Linked DNA regions of Rattus norvegicus. The main gene of each other region encodes a partner of the protein of the gene in region 2 in a complex. Links are inferred from orthologs where the notes say so. Each region holds a gene or a part of one and is shown on either strand. Other genes may lie near its edges. The genes, in order: Smim20 and Cmc1.

Region 1 (4,326 bases), on a different chromosome or scaffold from region 2:
AGGAGCTGTTCCCCAAAGACATTTAGAGATGGGTCCTCTACTGCTAAGATAGCAAGTGCACACTACTGGGAGATCTTCCCTCCTGTGTTTAATTCATGTAGCACAAGACCCTTCTTTTTTGTGCAATCTTCTCTTCTTACCTAACAAGTTCCTGAGGGGGCCTGAGGAGCAGTCATCTTACTGCACAGTCATTTGTCTTCCTCCCTGCACTTCCGTTGCCCTTGGGACTACATCAGTCATCGGCAACAGGCTGCATCCAGGATTAGTTATCTTTTCATGTATTTGTTCCGTGGTCGGATCCTGGAGAGCAGAGGTCATGTCTTATTCATCTTGTGTCCCCCTTTGCACTTTGCCTGCTGTTCGGGGGGCATAGTGAGATAGTCTATAAATCTGTTGACAGATTGAACGACTGATTTATATGCTGCTAGAGCCAGAGGTAGATGGAATCTTGATTCGACTACAAAACTACAGAGAAAAAGACCTGTGTTCACCACATCATTTCTGAGAGATTGCTGATCTTCTCTGGACTAAATAATGTTGCTGAGGTCAAGATAAATACCTTCTGTGAAGCCCAGCCTCGCTACTGCTGTCATTTCTATTTCTAAGGGATTGAGTGAAGGCCAGAGGAATGTTGGTCTTAGCTGCCCAGCTCCCTGAGGAGATCATATCTTCTGACGAAGGCTCTGTAAAAGGGAACAGGTGCAGAGGTGGGGGAAAGCGATCGTGGGACGAGGGAGCAGGTGTCAGTCTTCAGAGGCTCCGCCCCAGGCAAAGAGCCAGAGCCCTAGGGACCTGCCACTGACTCTGTGATGTTCCCAGGCTTTAATAGATTTTGTTTGCAGCCCTCTGTTAGTTTTGGGAATTCCTGTCTACTTTCTGGAACCCCTCATAACCCAGCACACATAACATGGAGAGCAGAGAGGATGAGGGATCAAAATTAGATCACTTTGGGTGCTCAAATACCCTCCTTAAAAGGCTGCTCTGGTTCAGAAGACACAGTGACTAATTTTGCAAATGCCTTGCAATCCATTCGAACCAGGAGATTTGTTCCTTTGTGACTCGTGCCCACAAACAACTTTCAAAGAGGGAGACCCAGTGACTTGCTCAGCCTTTCAGATGCTTCTAGCCTGTCACCAATCACAAATGTCACAATGTTAATGAAGGGGAAGGGTGAAAAAGTGTTGTTGGTAATAGACGAGTAAAACAGGAGGTGGTAATTGGAGCAGAGAAGGAAGGACGCAGACCCGAGGCGAGTAAGAGGTCAAAAGGGGGCTCGAGAAAGGAGTGTAGCCAAATTTGTGACTGCACGGGCCACCCAGTGTCTCGCCCTCCACGCAGTCAGCCTGAGGCGAGGAGGCGGGGCTCGGTTTGAGTCTCCGCCCCATGCCTCGCCCTTCCTAGAAGACCCCGCCCTCAGATGATCCCGCCCCACTGCGAGGAGTCTTTCAGCCCAGGCCCCGCCTCCGAGCCCAGAAACTCCGCCCTGCACCCAAATCCCGGAAGCGAGAGTTGCTCCGCCTCTTCCGAGCCGGGTCGCGACCTTGAGGCTGGGAGTCGGGTTTCGGAGCGTGCCGGGCCTTCGCCCGCCCTGCAGCCCCCTTTCTCACCATGGCCGCGGCCCGGAACCTGCGCACCGCGCTCATATTCGGAGGCTTCATCTCTATGGTCGGAGCCGCCTTCTACCCTATCTACTTCCGGCCCCTTCTGCGGCTGGAAGAATACCGTGAGTGACCTCTGACCCCGCGCAGTGGCTGCTCCCAGCGCTACCCCGAAGTCTTTAAGCCCCTACCCTAACTGTTCAAGGAGTACTGAGGAAGGAGGTGGACTTAGGAGTGAGGCTACCCAGGGTCCAGGCTCGCCCAGTGCAGCCCGGTGATCTCGGACAAGTGGCCCCACCTCCGACCTTCAATGTTAAGAGTCTAAATAATCAGTTGCAGGATCAGCCACAGAACTGGAGCATCTTAGGGGTCACAGAGGTGATGTGTATGAAAGCAGCCTGCACACAGCAGGTCAACACTAACACTAGTTCACACACAGTTACTATATACTGAATATTTAATGTGTCAGGTTAGTCATATATCGAATCATTGAATTTGCACAGCCTTCCCTTGAGGTAGGTACTACCCATTTTACAGATGGAGGTCACACAGCTAGTAAGTGGTGGGGGAAATGTTCCAACCCAGTCTTCTGCCTGCAGAGCCCTCCCCTCCATTCACCCAGGCTGAGATGGTACTTTAGTGGGAGCCTTGATCATCCTGAGTTGAAAGGTGTTTTTATGGTGCATCATTGCCGTCCCCTAAGATGTCTTGGAGCGGAAATATTTCAAAGCTAAACTGTTAACCTGGGTTTTGAGTTTTTCCTCAAATCGTTTTTTTAGATTCTGCTGGTTTCCTTCGTTTTAAGCTGGTTGCTCACATGACAATGGTGAATGCCGGGGGAGTCATTTTTTTCCTTAATCATTCAGGTCCTATCATTCTAAAAGCCAAACTCTCCTTCCTGGAGACCTATACCTCAGCAAGGATTAGCACTTTGATACATCTGAAGCCATCTGTCAGAGAGGAGAGATGAGGCATTAGAGGATCATTTTGTTCTCCAGGAACCTGAACCATCTTGAAGATGAAGAGGGCCAGCCCAGCCCCCTGGGGAATATTAGCCGGAGCTGAAGCTTGGCGGTTTGACGCTTCATGTAAATGCTCTGACCATCTCTAGTGCTGTAGCACTTGGGTTCCAGAGGCAAAGCAGTTTCAAGTACACACACGAATCCCCTGGCAGCAGCTTTTTACCAGCTCAGACTGAGACGGTCTCTGTGCTTCCTGCCTACAAGTCCTTCTGCATACCCCGTGTGTGGAAGGAACATGGGCTGTGTAGGGTCCTGCAGAATTCGTCTCCATCCTTTTCCCTTGCTGGGTCCATGCCCCGGGCTATTTTATTACAGCTTCTAGAGTTGGACTCGAGACAGAAAGATCTGCTGTGGGTTCCCTTCGAAAACTCCCAGTTCTGAAAACGGGTATGGTTCTTAGCCAGTGTGCTATCTATCTGGAGTTGGTTTTGCTTGTCACAGCTAAGGGACAGAAGGGGAGGTGAGTAGGTTATTAGTATCTACTAGATAGGATCCAGGATAAATTTTCCATGATGCACAGAAGTCACCTGTGAGGAAGCATCAAAGGGTGAGGGCTGCCCAGCTCTTAATCAGTGAGTCAAGAGGAGACATGGCTTCCAGGAATACTCCCCAGTCTTTGGCTGACCAAGTTGCTTTAGACGGGCAGGTCAGGCTCCAAGGCTGTCCATACCCGCTTACCTTTTAGCTTATTAAAATAATTCAGCCAACTTTAACCAAAAGTTGTAACTAAATCTTTCAAGAAAGTCATACTAAACAGCTAATTTTTATCTGAAGTTAATTTTTAACACCCTTCCAAGCACTTCAACTCTACCAAGCCATTTAGTGCTCATAATAACCCTTTGTGGTAGCTGTTAGCTGAATGACATATAGACAGGGTATTTCCTCACTCTGAACCTTGCCCCCCCCCCCAGCCCCCTAGGCTGTGGTGATGGTGTTTACTGAACTGAATTTACAGGCTTAGGGTGAATTAAGTAGAGCATTACTTGTAGAAGTCTCTAGTATAGTCTCATATGAGGAATTGTACAAAAAGCACTTTTAAAAGAGGGCTTTGGTGAGGGACGAGCTATAAGCAGTTGTGTGCCTAAGGCCAGCGACCCAGCCCTAAGCATGTCCAGCTGGCTCAACGTATGCTCAGGAACTGGGAGCCTGCTGTGCAGGTGAGCTTCTCAGCCCATTTCAATCCTCAGTATTTATAGTATTTCACTGCTTTCCTTTCATATACTCAGCCTGGATTTTAGCTGTCACTTGGGTCTGGTACAGTTTAGATGTGGGGCAGAGCTGGGCTGACCCCAGTCTCTTCCCCTGCCACCCTTCTCACTCCGTCCTGGCCATGTGCATCTTGTGTAGTGTTTTAGCCCAAGCATTCTCTGCCCCTTTACTCACTAACATCACTGTTTTATCTTTACTCACCAACTCTTCGTCTTTCCCATGCGCCCCTCGTGCTTTTCTTGTGTGCATTATTATTTTCTTTTTCTTAAAGCTGAAAAGAAATGTGTGCTGTTGAGAGGGTGGATGTATGGCAGCTTATGTGTGTCAATTTCGGAGGACAACTCTGGAGTCATTTCTCCCCTGTTTTAACATAGGCTGTGGGGGTTGGATTTAGGTCATTGGGCTTGCATGGTAAGTGCTTTACCGGCTGAGCTGTCTTGCTGGCCCCGGTTGAGGTCTTTCTGAAATACACCTGGTACTAGTTCTTTGGTGAGAAT
Region 2 (4,330 bases):
AGCAGAACTGGGATCGTACAGACAGAGCAATATGTCTGAGCCGTCTAACAAGTACTTCAGTGTCAGAGGATCTAAGAGCGCAGTGCAGCTCAGGCAGGCACCAGTACAAATCCAATCCCTCTCACTACCACTTTGCTTAGTACTTTGTCCTTTCTCTAGTCTCTTCCACTTATCACAGTTGAAAACAATAAGTATAACTGTAATAATAATAATAATAATAATAATAATAATAATAATAATAATAACAATAATAAAAAGATAAACCTTCAGGGAGTGTGTTATCAACTCTGTAAAAGGGAAAGTTTAAAGAAAAGTCACATGAGAATACAGATGCTGCCTACATCTCACTCTTGGGTCCAGACTTTGAGAAAAACTGAAAGGAAACAGAATTAAAACGCTAGAGCTGGAGAGATAGCTCAGTGGTTGAGAGCACTGACTGCTCTTCCAGAGGTCCTGAGTTCAATTCCCAGCAACCACATGGTGGCTCACAACCATCTGTAATGGGATCTAATGCCTTCTTCTGATGTGTCTGAAGACAGCTACAGTGTACTTATATATAATAAATAAATAAATCTTTAAAAAAAAAAGAATTAAGATGCTTTATAGTAGAATTCAAGTCCCTAAACCAACGAGGTGTTCACCTCAAGCCCACTTTGACAACCTTCTTCCTTATGGTTCTTCTCGCCACTCTGCCCTGTCAGTTCAATATTTTTTCAAGCATTTGCCACATTGAATGCCCACCATGGCCCCAGCTCCCAGCTCTTTTCATGGTAGCTTCTTCTCTTGATATTTTAAAGCAAATGGTGTTTCTCCATAAAAGCTCTTAACAAAAGTAGCTCTCTCCTCACAATCTACTTCATGTCTTTTAGTGTCTGTGAACAAACAGGGAGAGGCTACTTTAGGTGGGGGTCCTTGTTTGTCCTATATGTTACTGTTTCCTAGGTTACAGAACAATATACACCAAGAACACTGAGCCACCAACAAGTTTACCAAAAGGTACTAAAATAAAGGCATGGTTGACAGTCTGGGTTGAGAAAGGAACCAAGTGGTTCGTAACAAAACTTGGTCTTATCAGACAATAGCTATGACGCCTTGAGCACACTGCACATTCAGACGGGGTTAAGAGAACTAGAAACCCGTAGGAGCAAGTATGAACTGTTTGTTTCTTACACTTTCTCATCTGTCTAAATAAAGATCCATCCAGGCCTTTAGCTCAGTGGTTCCCAACCTGTGCATCACCATCCTTTTGGCAAACTTCTATCTCCAAAAAAATTTACATCACGATTCCTCACAGTAGCAAAATTATAGTCATGAAGTGAGGTAGCAATGAAAATAATTCTATGGTTGGGGGGGTCACCACAACATGAGGAACTGTTAAAGGGTCTCTGCATTGGGAAGGCTGAGAACCACTGCTTTAACCTGAGTGTCCCTATCCCTATCTGTATGAGTATCATTTTCAAGGTCATGAAATACCAAAATTATATGCACTTTACCTGAACTTCCCTTACCCATGCTTCATTACTGCCTCCTACCTTCCAATCAAACTTGTCACCCTCAAATCAAGTAAGACTCTGTGTCTTACCACATGATCACTGCTCAACGATGCCGCTTCAAACTTCAGTCCAAATATTTTGCTTCAAATTGATAAGATCCGAGCGGTGTTCCGCAACTGCTTTATGCTTCAGATTATACTAATACACTTACAGACTCTGGTCAATTACGTGAGGTGCGAAGTAAGCAGGGTGCTGCAGTAGATGAACCAAGGTTGCTTTAGACGGTGCTAAGTTCTATAAGGAACTGACATTTTAATTCAAAGCTGACGGACAAAGGCGCCAGCTAGGAAAGAACTAGGAGGGGTGACTAAAAGCAGCGGCTTAACCTTTCTGAGCCTGCTTCCTACTCTGAAAATGGAGATAAAAGAACCAACCAGGCAAGTACTATTCTGGGACAACTGAATACATTGGCTTGATAATAAAATGACAAGTTATTCGAATGCTATACCTAGTTTCCATCCTATGTGAGGGCTACATGTGACCTTTCGCTTCAGATTCTTCAAAGGTTTGAAAGTCTCTAACCTATCAATACCTGGAGTTTTCCTATCCATTAAGACTAGACTCATTACCTTTCTGTCTCTGCCTTTTCACCGTTACTTAAATCAAGTAAAATACTGGGAGGGCGCTTTCTGAAAAACTTCCTGAGGACCTGAACTCGACTGCAAACGTAAGTGATGGGAATCATGCAAATTAAAACGACACGGAAGATGTATTGGAGAGCCTTTCCAAGAAAATGCCTCTAGCCAGTCAGTCGTGGAGCGTTTGTTACACTGACCTACCAGGATGAACTTGGGAGAAGGCATAAAATTACCGGAAACAGAATGTCAAACTGTGCACCAGAGTGAAACTTCAGTTTTCTGGGACAACTTTGTCTACACCCGATACTGTTTAAAAGGAGCCTGTGCCCCAAAGGAGGAAAGAAAAAAAAGCAAAAACAAAAACTAGGCGGTGAAGAGACTGAAGAGATAGTGAAAGTTGACACAAGGAATCCAACGCCCCTCACCGAGCAACTAGAGCCCCAGCGAGCAGCAGATGGACGGCCTGTCACCGAGAGTGGAAACCCAGCCGCCGGGCTGAATGAGGTGCTAACTGCGGAAGCCACGCATCCTTGGAGCACCTGACCCCTGGCGCCTAGGCCCTCACAACCACGCCGACCCCAGTACCTGCGGGGTCCAGCGCCATCTCGGAGGGCGGAGAAGCAGCAAGCCACTCGCCGGCTCTGGAGCCGGGACGGGGAGGAGCCTAAGCTGGACTGCGCGCGCAGCCGCTCGCCCGCCCGCAGCTTCCCGCAGGAGAGCGGGTGCGCGACCTCCGCTGTGAGAACAGACCACACCCCCTTCCCCTGTTCCTACCCTCGGTTTGTTCTACGCCTGCGCCCGACTGCCCTCTACGGGAATCCTGCGGTAGAGTGGGCGGGTTTCTCGCGGAATGCCCAGGAGGGGGCGTGGCCACGCATGCGCCTTCAAGAGGCTGCCTCAATGTGTGCTGCCTGACTTAGCACGTGGGATTTGAGACTTGGGCCTCTTATCTCAAAGGTTCTGAATGTCCTTCTGTCCCTGTCGGGTTTCGGCCTCAGTCTTGAGTGCCAGAGGAAAAGTAATAAAAATAAAGCCCTTATTCTTGACGCGTTGTTCCCGGGAGGAAAGCCACCTGCAGGAGGAGTCCTGTCCAGGAGACGTGTTTTGTGAACACACCCTGGGCAGTCCAGTCTGGGTGATGTGATGGATCTTGACTCTCCTTGAAAGCTGTGATCTGTTGCTGACATAAGGGAAAGGAACAGTTGCCCGAAGGTAACTTTCAGGGCGGCCCTTAGGCCTGTTTCCACTCACTGACCGACCTTCAGTTCTGGCTGAGTCTATCAGATCTCCATTTAATGAACTCAAGCCTCCAAATGGTGAGTAGGGCCAGGGACAGATGTTTGGGAAAACGTGGAGCAGCTGCCTCTTCGCTACGAGGGATTTAAGGCTTTCAAAATGATTCCCTTCCCACCTACCTGCAGTCCCTTCTTCCCTGCTGCTGAGTCTGCCTGGTCAGTTGGCAGAAAGGATACCCCAGTTGAACAGGCCTGGGAAAGTGCGTCTCTGCTCAGCAGGGCTCCGGTTTAAGGGCCTGTTTGGACATAACGCTCTCATTACAGCTAGAGGCTGAGGTGCCAAGGTGGAGAATTAAACCTTCACTCAGCCGGGCAGAAGTCGGTTCTTTTACTTGTATGTTTTATAAATGTGCTGAGAAACACACAGAAGCTGCTATGGGTCCCCTTTTTATTTTGCTGGAAGCGGATGAGTTAGAAAGACCAAAACGACGTTTTGTTGCTGCCGTTGTTGGATTAGGCAGATGCTCAAGCTGACCACTCGCTGTGTGTAACAAATACACCTGAAGATTTAGAGACTATGAGATGAGTTATAAAATCAGAAGTCGGGCATCCAACACTCAAGTAATCAAACCACATAGGCAAAACATATCTTGATAAATGGGATGCTTTTGGTCTGCTTCAGTTAGAACTGTGTACGCTCTCTTGAATCCTGTAGCCACGCCTGCGGCGTGAAAATAAGTTCCAGTGTTTTATTTCTGGACTTCGGTTTCATTTCCAAGGTCATTCCTAGGAATACACTCAAAACAGAACACACCTCATAAACTTTGAGGGACCTCTTCTATAGTTTCTGCCATGACTGTCACAGGAAACATGATAGTATTTCTACTTAAAACAGTTCACCTTTCAGAATATCTAAGCAGTTACTTGTTTGCTTTTGCCCTACCCTAGACGATATTATTTTGGA

Evidence for each region.
Region 1: Cmc1 (region 2) and Smim20 share a complex: the UniProt entries of both Homo sapiens proteins name them as parts of the MITRAC (mitochondrial translation regulation assembly intermediate of cytochrome c oxidase complex) complex. The link is inferred for Rattus norvegicus from reciprocal best matches to the Homo sapiens genes CMC1 and SMIM20.

Annotation. Positions count from the first base shown.
Region 1 is NC_086032.1:61,932,719-61,937,044, reverse strand, and holds the start of Smim20 (small integral membrane protein 20), read left to right. Parts: upstream 1-1,512; 5' UTR 1,513-1,608; coding exon 1,609-1,723; intron 1,724-4,326.
Region 2 is NC_086026.1:126,732,669-126,736,998, forward strand, and holds the start of Cmc1 (COX assembly mitochondrial protein homolog), read right to left. Parts: upstream 2,896-4,330; 5' UTR 2,736-2,895; coding exon 2,717-2,735; intron 2,706-2,716; exon of another isoform or gene 2,557-2,705; intron 1-2,556. UniProt on the Homo sapiens protein: Component of the MITRAC (mitochondrial translation regulation assembly intermediate of cytochrome c oxidase complex) complex, that regulates cytochrome c oxidase assembly.